2 linked regions of the Caenorhabditis elegans genome follow. The protein of the gene in region 1 interacts with the protein of each later gene in a pairwise test. Each region holds a gene or a part of one and is shown on either strand. Other genes may lie near its edges.

Region 1 (8,134 bases):
AATTAGTTTCAAAAGAACATCTACAAACATTCATTCTTCGCAATTAGCTGTAATAAATAAGTATACACATAACAATAAAAACTGAGTTTGCTGCGGAACGAAAGTGTTCCCATAAAATATATTCAAAAAAAAATAATTTGGTTCAAAATATACAATCACAGAATTGTCTTGATATATTCAACAGCCGACTTGAAGTTGACCCAGTAGTAAGCATCACGTCCCGACTCGATGCGGTCACCGGCAAAGGTTTCAACAAATTGCACGTTAGACAGAAGAGCACGTGGATTCGCCTGGAAATGAAAATTGAAAGCTTCAAGCTAATATCGAAATTTAAAAAAAAGAAGTTCAACTACATAAATGTTTTAACTAGATATATGTATAACTGACAGCTTTTTAGTTATTACTATAGTCTGCAGCGGTGAAGCCTAAATTTTAAATTAAATTTAAAATATTTTCCAAAACAAAAACGAAATTTCAACTGCTTCTCTCACCTTAATAATCACAAAAACTAGAACCGGTGTGAGGTCATCTGCGGATGCGACCGCGTTTTTCGAAGACAACGCCACCAGGTTGTTGATGACGTCACAGCATCGGACCACACAGTTGAGCTTGTCCTGAGCAGTCACATAAATATCCAGCATTGAGAGTTCCGCCTGAGCAGACGGCCAGGGAGCTTCACCGTGGAGGTGCTGCAATTTTTATTGTGTACAATATGTTAGTCAATTTTTTTCAATTCAATAAAAAACAAATAATAAAAAATAAACTTCTGGAATTTTCAAAAAGTCGTTGACCGGCGTGACTACGTCAGAAACTTTGGCGATGGTTCCACGGAGCAACCTGAGAAAATAACATGAATTATTGTTCAAGTTTTGGTTTTCGATTAAAAAAAGGATTAAAGGACGATCCGTTCTTCAAGTGCTATGCACTGCGGATCTGGGATTCAGGTACACTGCCTGGTGGTGATCCCTCTGAGCTGTAATTTAAGCCACGTCCTAGCCGGGGGCTGTGGCCGTTAATCCAGTCGTGGATTGCTCCACTTCCCAATAGAGGCTGGGTGAACCTAGGGGGTGAGGCCAAAATTGAACTCGTGACCTCCAGACTGCTAGCGGCCACCACTACCGACTGAGCTATCTGCCCCCCTCCCTTAATATTAAATAGCAATTTTAAGCTTAAAAGCCACAATTTTTGCACAAAATTTCTGGAGCATGGCTTCAAGAGTAAGCCAAATTTTTCATCACAGTTTCTAGCTATTACACTTGTTGAAAGCTCCCAAGTCTCAAAAAATCCTCACTTGTCTCTGTGATGATCCGCATCTCTATTCGGGTAGAATGCGTTATCATAAACCGCAAAAATCACATAACGCTCGATGGTTGTCATGGCTCGCGACATCATTGTATCCGTGGCAAACTGAAACCATTTATAAATTACTAGCTTCTTTATACTAGCTTCCTTACATTCCAATCCACGTTTTGCATCAAGCGATCCCTCAAAAATGTGAGTAGATTCTTCAAAAACTCGGCACGTTCATCCTGAGCTCGAAGGTATTTGAATTCGTCGTAAAACTTGAGCACGGCCGTCACTTCCTGAGTTTTGCCAACTGTGTGCTTGTTGTTGAAGCCCGTTTCCAGAAAAGTGCGCATGAGGAAATCAACGAGGATTTGCTCGGTGAGCCGGCGGTTTCTAAAATAATGAAAATCGATGAAAATTTACAGATAAAGGAAGGATGCTTACAACAAAACTCTTTGCTCCAACGAAGAGATATCATTCGATTTTCTCATTAGTGAAGCACGTTCCTCACGCATTCCATTTACGATTTTGTCCTGCTCAGCTTCATTCAATTTCAAATGGTCCATGAGGATTTCAACGCTGAAATTTTTAAAGGTCTCATCTACAAATCAATACTGAGGATATGGAATTTGGCTAGTATGAAAAGAGTCTAAGCTTAAGCCTTGACCTAAATCTAAGCCTATGCCAAAGCTTTCGCCTAAGGCTCAGTCTTAGCCGAAGCCTGAGCCTAATCCTAAGCCTAAGCCTAAGCTTAAGCCTGTATGAACCTTCGAAAAATGTCATCCATTATAAAAATGAAGATTGTTTCTATCGCGTATTTCACTGCTTGAAATAATGTTTTTCGAATAGTTTCATTCCCGCTCTTACCCAGCGTGCTCAAAGAGTTCGATGCATCGCTTGACTTCTCTCAACTGAGCCGCAAGCCCGTACTCTCTCCTGTGCTCAGTTTCCACGAGGACTCCATCCAAAAACCTCCCAAGCAGCACTTTCTTGTCCCACTCATTTTGCTTTGTCTCGTTGCGATACCCGATCCTTGGCAAGTAGGAAATGTTCCCGAGAACTGTGATCATTTTTCGAAGGGTGTCTTGAAAAGCCCTGAAACACCATAATCTGGATAATATAGATGAATTAAAAAACTTACCGACAACCAACCAGATTTTCAGACGAATAATACGGCTCCAGTGGCTCTTTTCTCGGAGTCGATGAGGCAGAGGCAGTGCCATCAATTAGATTCCCGAGCGCTGGTTTTTGCTCTTTAATCGATGATATCGACGCGTACTTAGCCAGAATATCGTCACGTGGACCTGTAGCAACGTCTGGTAGGTTTTGCTCACTGCTGCTAGTGGGGATGCCTGACGGAGGTGGTTTTACAAATGATCCCGAACGACGGAGGTGCTCACGGATGTCGGATAGGGTGTTGGATTGTGTGATTCCTAAAACTCTAGCTAATATGTATGTTTGAGAATTCGCGCTGGATGGAACTGAAAGCTAATTGAAAGTGGGAGGACTAAAGTTCATTTTAAAATGTTAAGAATCAGTTTTTCAACCACGTATTTCAGAGGTGCGTGGAATTTCAGCAATCACAGATTGCCGGAAAATGGTAATTTCTTCTAAATGCCGAAATTCTCCAACAGTTCAATTTCTGCGTCCTTTCACTACTCGAACTTTAACTACGCAGGTAATCCGCTCTGCCTGGTACTTCCCAAAAAAATTAGCTCAACTTAGTAAAATAGTAATCTTCTTACCCTTCTTCATCCTATCGCTCAAACTTTTCAGTTTAGCAAGTTTTCCTCGTTGCTCGCCACCAACTCCTTGATCACCAATCTGAAGTTCTTCTGTAGATGTGAGAGGCTCGGGGGACACTGATGTTGAGTCACTGAGATGTTCGCTGTTAGTTTCAGCTGAACCAGACGAAAAGTCAATAAGATTGTTTTCCACTGGAGTCTCCTTCGGTGCTGGAGTTGGCTCCAGAAGCTTCTCCAAATCAGCCAACTGTCTCCTTTCCTCGGCCTTCTTTTTTAGACGATCAGCTTCCGCAACGTCTTTGTAGTTTTTGGGGCTATACTCTAAGTAGAACAAATCAAAGTTCTCTTTTCCAAAAGCTAGTGCTTCTCCCTGTTTTGCTCCGAGCTCATTGATATCGTTGAAAGAGTCACCGGTTCGTTTGAATGAGTGTTGAACTGAAAAAAAGTGTCAGTTATGAAAAAAGTTCCCATTTGGGTGTATACCTTTTCGATGAATATTACGAAGTGTTGATATTTTTGGTGAAGCCTCTAGGTTGTCAAAGTGTGACTTTTGAGTGGTGGAGCTGATTGTGGCGGGAAGCTTGTCGCATACTGATAAAATTCTTGAGAGCTTCGCGTCAGAAGTTGATGGTGCATTACGAATAATTTTAATCTGGAATTGAAATTTAGAAATTTCGCTTTTTTTCTATATTCGAAGACCTCCAGGCTTATCCTACCACCTGGTGAAATTTTGGAGGGTATACAACACTTTAGCTGACTAAGATAGCCATACAGATTTTGGATTTGGGTCTATAGCCTGATATCTTTTGACTTAAGTCTAGTAGCTTTTTTGTCTGAAACCAACATCATCACTGATTTTCCTATCACTGTTTTTTAGCCTATTTCTAAAACTGACGTCCCTCGAGCCTAACACTTTTGGGTCTTGACAATAAGAGCGTTTGTCTAGACTTTCATAAAATTTTGATATTAGGGATGACTCACCAAAACGTTAACATCCGCCACAGTTCCAACAAAACTCGATTTCGTAGCCATATCCGATTCAGCAGTCCCGTTCGCGATAAGCGACGTGATCTCAACGTCGGGAGCAAGTTTCTCCACAAGTAAAGCATCCATCATTTCTGATATGAGATGTGTGTTCTGAAAAGCTTCTAGTTGAGAGCAGTATCAATTCCAAAGACAACTCACCCGACACTGGCTCAAAAACTCTTTGTACTCTTCCGGCGGCGATTCAAACTCCCTCAATGAAATCATTTGGATAATCATCGCGATTTGAACCAAGTTATGGTTTACAATTGTCCCAACTCTGACATCATTATCCACAACTCCAAACTTTTGCGGACTGATGATTGCCGGGCAAATGAGGTTTGAAACAATCATATCCTTGCAAGCATGACTCAGCTCAATAGCTGACACATCATCGACCACCTCGTACAGCGAGCAGAATATGTCTCGAATGATCCAATTCAAATTTGGTGGAAGCATTGGCAGAGCTTTCGAGATATCTAAATGCATTGAAAATTTTATATTTGTTCTGTTTGGCGGAAAACAACTCACTTTCCAGAAAAGTGTCAACAAAATCGACTAGCTTGGAAACAACGAGAGCTCTGTATTCGGGTAGGCGATCCTCATTCTGCTTGTTATCACGTAAGAACCGAGCCGTGGACTGAAAAATATAGACGTATGAAAAGCTCTCTTGAAAGTGAGTTTTTTTCCAGCAGCTAAACCAAAACCAGGTTTTTAAAATTGAAATTGTTTAAACAAATTGTCAAGCCTTTTCAAGCCTACAGAGCTTGAAATGAAACTTTAAGTATTTTGTGGATGACATATACTACACTAACAATTGTTTTAACAGCTAGTAACACTATTTTGGTCAGTGCAATTTTTGAACCGAATTCTGTGGTTACTGTATAAGCTTTTCCACATCCTAGTTTTGGTCAGTGCAGAATCATAAAATTTACCTGTTTTGCATCGATATCCAACCAAAAGCTGCCCAACTGAATAACATCCAAAACCCCTTTCCTCAAAGCTTTTGTTAGATATACCATTGTCGGATGTATTAGTTCTACAAAATGCTTGTAGAATCTCGTTGATATGGAAGTTTCCTTCCGCAGAATTGTCCTCATCTCACTGCCAGATCTGTATAGTTGAAGCTTCAAAAGATTACACACAACTTGTGCAATCTTGAGCTCATCCTCTGGGTACAGAGCGCACGAGTAGACGAGGTGGAAGAGTACTTGAATTGTGGAGTCGTTTGATGTAATCTGGAAATTATAGGTAATGTGTTGAAACAATGGAAAAACTCACATCATTTCTGTCAATGCTATTCAATAGTTCGGCGACCGACTGGGGCTCATTGTACAATATTGTCAGCAATTGGTCAAGAGTGGAAAAGTGATGCCCGACGTGCCTGAATTTTTTAATTTGCATTTTTCCTGTATTGTTATGTTGGCTCGTATGGCATTTTCGGAATAGTGGTCTTTTTAAATTTTCCAGTCATATTTTATGTGAGTTTACGGGCAATATGTTAAAGTGATCATTCTGGTTTTCATGGTTTTAGGCATGAAAATTATTTTGCTCATTTAAGTTTCAGTTATCGAAAATTGTATTAATTAAAAAATTTAGGTTCGTAAATCGACATATCCAATATTTTATGACATGGTGCAACTCGACCGATAATTTCTGTCATTCACTACACTTCATATAAATTCAATTTATTGGCAAAACTCGGAAAATGTCGGTTGCAGCTCAGCTTTTCTTTACTCACTTGTATGCTGGGAGAGCTTCAGTTTCACTAATCTCTTTGAGAAGCCTGCATGCAATTGTTGGCTCGAGTGCCTGGTTTTTGAGCTGACGTCCAACGTTCTGAACAATATTTAGTGGGAATCCTAATCATCAAGAACACTTACATTCCAGTAGGAGCTTCTCCATGCCTCGGTGAGCAACTTAATTTCGTTATCCGATACTTCTTGTTGGTGTCTGTTCAGAGAGTGGAGCTGAAAAATTGAAATTTGTATTTGAAATCACTTTTAAAAACTTCAAAATTCCTACCTCAGCGTCCGTAAGCAATTTTTGATTGCGAATTTTGGTGGCCAACTCATAAAACTCCCGATACTCGTCCTGAGACCGAATCCGCTCGATGATATCGGCCATTTACCTGAAAAAAAAAAAGAAAAATTAAGCAAGAAAATTTATTTAAAATTCAGTTTTCAAAAAAAATCGGTGTAACACAAAAGAAAAGACAAAGAAAAAGAGAGGATGAGTGCGCGGGTCTGCACACCGGTTCACGGTGGCCATGCACACAATGCACCACACTTTACGACACCTCCTCCTAAAGGCAAACGGAGGAGGGACCTTGATTATCGGGAAAATGGTGGCCAAAGATGGTTTATTCACACTGCTATTTGCAATACTAATTGTAAATGTTCAAAGTTGCATTTTGCTAGCAAAAGATAACCATGGAGATATGAAGGTAAATTAGAATAGGAATTGTTACAGAAAAGTCTTAAATAAAACTTAAAATTAACCAAAACCAGGAAAAATGTTCAAAAACATGATTAAATATATCAGAAATATTTTTCAAAGTTGTTGTGAAGTGTTTTAATATACGTTAAATACTTTTAAAAATATTTTTCCACTGGTTTTATTTTTCGTTTACCTTTTTTTAACAATCAGAAGTGTCAAACATTTTATACATTAATGCTCCTTTTTCAAAAAAAAAAAATTTTTAATGCAGTGCTCTATTTTATAGAATTAGACTTTCCAAACTTATTTTTAGTCCTTTTTACTAAATCCTTTGAGAGTACAGCTTAGTTGTCCTCTTTATTGTAATTTTTGACAATAATTTCAACATTAATTTGTTTTAATTTTTCGAAAGGTCCCCGTATAAAATTTACTTGGGCCTATCTACAAAGTAAAGCAATGAAACAGTGCTTCTCGAACTTTCGTGATAATCGAAGTAGAACCACTGCAGTAATAAATCTAGTTAACACTTAGGTGAACGGTTATGGACTTCACAGAGAACTGAAACTACCTGCATTCATTCAAACTCAATCCAGAATTCCTCAATGCCGAATTCTCTACAAAATCGAGATTCCGGAAGGTGTCTATGTTGATGAAAGAGAGTAAGACTATAAACATTTGATTATTTTTAATAGTTTATATAAGTTTCAGGTTACAAAGTGCAAGGTTTGGCTATGATTTTATAGTTTTACCGGTAAAGAAAACCAATTCACAAATGGTAAGCAATGAACATTTTTTAGAAATTTTTTCATTAAAAAATCATACGTTCAGCTCTTTGCCATCAAGAAAAAGCTTTACCTATCAACATTTGAGATGAAGAATCTTCTAAAAATCAAGATACATTTACATCCGCCGAGTAAAGGTTTATTTTTCAATTTTGACTGAAAATTCCCACGGACAAATTTTCAGCTTTCCCAAAGTCTCTAAAATTCCCTGTTCCAACAATTGCTGTAGACTGCAAAGGGGATTTGTTCAAAGGTTGCACAACACTTAAAACTTCTCGTGGTGGGTTTTCTAAAAATTTTTCAGACTTGTAAGTGTTTTTTTTCAGATCTCAGGCTAAAATCAGAATCTCCCAACTGGTTGTCAGTTAAGAGCCCAAGCAGAGCTCCTGTGGAATTGGAAACGTTCCGAGACGAACAACTTTTTGCAGATTTCGGATATGAATCGTGTTTTTTGCTGGTTACTACTTTGCTCACTTCTATGTATTATTTAATAAAATAAAATTTTGGATTATTCAATAAGAAATATTATTTGCAACTGTAATTTCGGTTATGTGTGCACTGACCAATTTTGTGTTGCCACTGACCAGCTTGATGAGCGCAATCACCAATTTTGTGTTTGCAGTGACCAAATCACAAATTTAAAAAATTTTTATAGGGGTTGCAGAGCACAGTTTTTATATGTGCAAGCGTGTTGTCAACCAATTTTTTGGGCACATTTCCAAGACACAATAGATTTGTAAAAAATGTTTGCACCAGCCCAGTCACTACTGAAAAATTTGAATCAAATTTGGGCCACCAAAAATATTAATTTAATTTGATCTGAATCGTCAAAATCTGTAAAACTTGTAGAAGTTGCAC
Region 2 (4,245 bases), on another chromosome or scaffold:
TTGATTACCTCAAGCATACGTAAATGTGCAATTGTTGGTGGATTGAACGACCCGACGGCAAGAAGAGCGACTCGTTTCATCGTTTTATCACAATATTTATTGAAACTGAAAAATATTTTGTTTTCTTCTGAGCTATTTAGAACGAAACGTTTTTGAAAAAATATGAAAAATATCGAGAGTGATCAGAAACGAAAAATTTTTTTTAAAAGTGTGTCAAAAAATGCAAGTCAGGTGGAAAATCAGGATACGTTTAGGAAATTTCTTATTTATTGAACCTTTTATTCACAAAATCGACAAATTTTTATGATTGGGAAATATTAAAATTAAGCATGAAACAAATTTAAAATGAGAATTTTAATGTGAAAACATTCTAATACAGTTTACTCTTAAAGGGACATGGCTCAAACAAAAAAAGTTGTCTCGCAACGACTCAGCTACAGTAGTCTCTTTTGAATTTTCTTGAATATTATTTGAGACCCGAAGAACTCGGGGGATGTCCAATTGGGGGGATTACCAACTCGGGGGATTGGCCCCGCCCACAGAACCGTGGCTTGCAATACGCCCATTTCTGCAACTGCCGCACGGTTTTAAAATTATTTTTTCTTGTTATTTCTCGCTCTATTGAGAAAAATACAGTTTTAAAACCGTGCGGCAGTTGCAGAAATAGGCGTATTGCAAGCCACGGTTCTGTAGGCGGGGCCAATCCCCGAGTTGGTAATCCCCCCAGTTGGACATCCCCCGAGTTCTTCGGGTCTCTATTATTTCACACTTTTTCCGCTTAATTTTGCGCGTTTTTTTTAAATTTAGCCAAAAATTACCGGAAAATAAAAGTTTTTCGAAATGAAAAATAATTTTCATCAAAAATGTAAAATTGGCCTAGCGCGAAAAAATATAAATTCGAAAGCGCGCGCACCGAAAAGCCTCCTCCCGTTTTCATCCATTTTTGTCTAACTGTCTGCGATGTCACACAAACATTGAATACTCAGTCAACTGCGCCCGTCACCACCCCAGAAGGTACGCAGCCAAATTGGCTACCCCCGACGAAGCCCGTGTGTGTCATCGATGTCTGTTGCGCAAATATTTCTTTTTTTTAGTTTTATTGATTTTCATATATCCTGCAATTTAATTCGTTCACTACTTTTGGATGCTTCCAGAAAACTAATTTTAATCTCAAACTTCATCAAAACTTGAGAAAAAAGTTTATCAATTAATCAAATTACACGTGATGAATAATATGCAGAGATAAGCAAACTGAATTGATGAAAATAGTGATCAAAACCCGTATTTCTTTATCGATTTCATCACAATTTCGTTCCTCGTGAGACACCCGTATGAATCAATAATACGCTTGTTTACCACTCTTCAGTCTCTCGCGTGCCTTCAATCTTTTTCGGAAATTGCTCATTTCAAATCAATTTTTCCACTTTTTAAGTACAAGGATTTTTAGAAATTTTTCTAGAAATTTCAGGGATTCAAAATTGTTTTATCAATGAGAATTGAGATATAGAATTTTAGTCGAACATTATTTTTTTTGTTCTTTCTGGAAAGAAAAATGCAACATTATTTCTCTTTGAAACCATTTTGATATTTTTTCAGCTGAATCCTCCCTCATATCGTTTCCTATGTGAAATTATGCTTATTTTTTGCTTGTAATTTATTCGATCGATTTTTAATGTAATAAATTCAACAAATTTGTATTTAGAAAATGGCCGCCCGAAACGCAGGAACCGCCCGGCCTGGAGGTCCAAACAGAACGTGCCAGTTCAAACTCGTTCTTCTCGGAGAAAGTGCTGTAGGTGAGTTGATACTGAAAATGGAAAAAACCGCTAAAGGTTGGAGTAGAAAATAAAAGCAAACAAGAACAGTTTTCCAAAAAATAAAGATTTTTTTATTCTACTCCGTTCTGTCTGTAGCATATTTCGCAGTTGCTGAAAACCGTCACAAAATTTCGAAATTGCGTTGATTTCGAAGTTTAATTCTTCGTCTTTTGATTGTTTATATGTTTAGAATTATGGGTCATCTGATAGTTGCTAGCATATGACGTATATGCTCTCTTATTTCACCTAAACATCACAGAAAACTATCATTTCAGGCAAATCATCTCTCGTATTGCGATTCGTCAAGGGACAATTTCACGAGTATCAGGAGTCGACTATAGGTGCTGCGTTCCTCACTCAAACTGTGAGTTTTTGAATTTTTTGTGAAAATATAACAATTTTCCCTAATTTGAACAAAAATTTTGACTAAAATGAAAAATCTCGAATTTTAATAATATATTGTTTTTTAATAATATAATTGCGGAGATTTTTGCTCGAAAAACACGGATTTTATATTGAAAGACGTAAAAACGTTAATAATTAAGAATTGAATTTTCGAAATTTCAGGTGTGCCTTGACGATGCAACAATTAAATTCGAAATCTGGGATACTGCAGGACAAGAAAGATATCATTCATTGGCACCAATGTACTATCGAGGAGCTCAAGCGGCTATTGTTGTCTACGATATTACCAATCAAGAATCTTTCCAAAAAGCGAAAAATTGGGTAAAAGAACTGCAGCGACAGGCATCTCCAAATATTGTGATGGCATTGGCTGGAAACAAGGCTGATGTTGCCAATAAGCGAACTGTTGAGTATGAAGAAGCTAATGCTTATGCTGAGGACAATGCTCTCTTGTTCATGGAGACATCTGCGAAGGTACATTAGAAAATTTGGATTTTGACAATAAAAACATGTTAACAGAGTACTGAAATAGATCAAAAACTAAAATTGTTATTAAAAATAACAATAAACTTTGTTTTCTGCGAAGATAGTTTTTGAACTAATCTCCATTAAAAAATGAATGAGAAATTTAAGATTTCCAATTTAAAATCAATTCTCTATTTATTTAATTACAGACCTCAATGAACGTGAACGATATTTTCATGGCAATAGCTAAAAAGTTGCCAATCGGACCAGCACAGGGTGAACCAACGGGAACTGTCGATATGAACCAACCACAACAGCAACAAAAGGGTTCATGCTGTAAATAAATTGACGACTTTTTCATGTACCATCAACCCTTCTAGCTCCGCTCCTCTTTTGTTCTATATATCTTTTGAATCCAACGCCTGTGATCGTCGTCATTGTTTTCCCCTCGAAAAAAAAACACTTTTGAACAAGTTTTTTGTGCTCGCTTTCTTTATTTATTTTCACTCTTTTAACCCATATTTTCTCATTTTTTGTATATTTCTGACTAATGTTCAGCCAGTGAATGAGCTTGCACAATTGGCTCTGCCCATTTGCTTTTTATATGCGAAAACTCCCATTTTTTCATTCAAATGTTCCAATTATTTATTGCTTCTCACCATCAACATCCAAGTCCCGAACCCCACCATCCCACTGTTAGTACTTTTCTCGTCAAAGTTTCACCACCTTTTTGTCAATTTTTTTTCAAAATTTTATAGCATCCTTTCAGAATCTATCCGAATAAATTGAAGTTCGAAAATGTATATACTTGGTAACACAAAACCCTTCGTATACGATCGATATTAGATATTGAATTCAATTTTCTGAAAAACAACAAGGTGAGAATTATTTGAAGAATACAAATGTCCGATCAACCTGGAACAAGTAGACCGCCTCTTCGAGCAGAACCAACGCCCACAAAAAGTAAATGCTTTTCAAATCAATTGAATTCAAAAGAAAGTTAAATTTAAAAATTAAATAAATTTACTTTAAAATATACAAAATCATCTGAGATTTTTTAATTTTTTTAAATTTTTACATTCATTTTTTAAATATGTATCTGATTTTTTTTTCGAAAAGCAATGAAAAAGTATGGAAAATTATTTGAAACTACAGTACTCTTTAAAGGCGCGCACCTTTTTATATTTAACAATAATTTGTCGTGTCGAGACCGGGTACCGTGCCTGTAGTGAAAAAACACAAAGAAAATAGTTCTGTAATTTTTGTCATCAATTTTAGCTTTTTAAATCAAACTTTCTAGTAGGAACTTTGAATTTTTAATTTTCAGCTGCAACACGTCGACGTGCCCGTCCAATTGCAATACCATCAGATGAAACTCCACGGAATGAGGTTACATTCCTAAGACCATCAGAAGTTCCACAAAGAAAACCACTTCCAGAATATCGAGAACCACAACCACGAAAAACGTAGTCACATTTAAAAAAATCATTCTTAATTTTTAAAACATTTTCAGAGTTCCAAAGAATGTTCCACTTGAAGATCTTCATAATTATCATCG

Evidence for each region.
Region 2: the proteins of rme-6 (region 1) and rab-5 interact in a two-hybrid assay, tested with the Caenorhabditis elegans proteins (one study listed by BioGRID).

The regions. Positions count from the first base shown.
Region 1 is NC_003284.9:1,095,204-1,103,337, reverse strand, and holds rme-6 (Receptor-mediated endocytosis protein 6), read right to left. Parts: upstream 6,187-8,134; 5' UTR 6,183-6,186; coding exon 6,081-6,182; intron 6,028-6,080; exon of another isoform or gene 6,026-6,027; coding exon 5,939-6,025; intron 5,895-5,938; coding exon 5,797-5,894; intron 5,440-5,796; coding exon 5,337-5,439; intron 5,294-5,336; coding exon 4,991-5,293; intron 4,696-4,990; coding exon 4,587-4,695; intron 4,535-4,586; coding exon 4,218-4,534; intron 4,170-4,217; coding exon 4,014-4,169; intron 3,685-4,013; coding exon 3,516-3,684; intron 3,468-3,515; coding exon 3,033-3,467; intron 2,721-3,032; coding exon 2,429-2,720; intron 2,383-2,428; coding exon 2,155-2,382; intron 1,867-2,154; coding exon 1,732-1,866; intron 1,681-1,731; coding exon 1,455-1,680; intron 1,408-1,454; coding exon 1,292-1,407; intron 838-1,291; coding exon 765-837; intron 690-764; coding exon 492-689; intron 291-491; coding exon 156-290; 3' UTR 14-155; downstream 1-13. Other genes in the region: pigx-1 (Phosphatidylinositol-glycan biosynthesis class X protein), read left to right, coding at 6,325-6,501, 7,026-7,153, 7,203-7,269, 7,323-7,413, 7,461-7,556, 7,603-7,775. UniProt on the Caenorhabditis elegans protein: Acts both as a GTPase-activating protein (GAP) and a guanine nucleotide exchange factor (GEF), and participates in endocytosis. Acts by regulating the activation of rab-5 by exchanging bound GDP for free GTP at clathrin coated pits.
Region 2 is NC_003279.8:9,306,740-9,310,984, forward strand, and holds rab-5 (small monomeric GTPase), read left to right. Parts: upstream 1-1,702; 5' UTR 1,703-1,705; coding exon 1,706-1,796; intron 1,797-2,092; coding exon 2,093-2,181; intron 2,182-2,384; coding exon 2,385-2,696; intron 2,697-2,896; coding exon 2,897-3,031; 3' UTR 3,032-3,482; downstream 3,483-4,245. Other genes in the region: nmat-2 (Nicotinamide/nicotinic acid mononucleotide adenylyltransferase 2), read right to left, coding at 9-80; uev-3 (Ubiquitin-conjugating enzyme E2 variant 3), read left to right, coding at 3,590-3,650, 4,015-4,153, 4,201-4,245.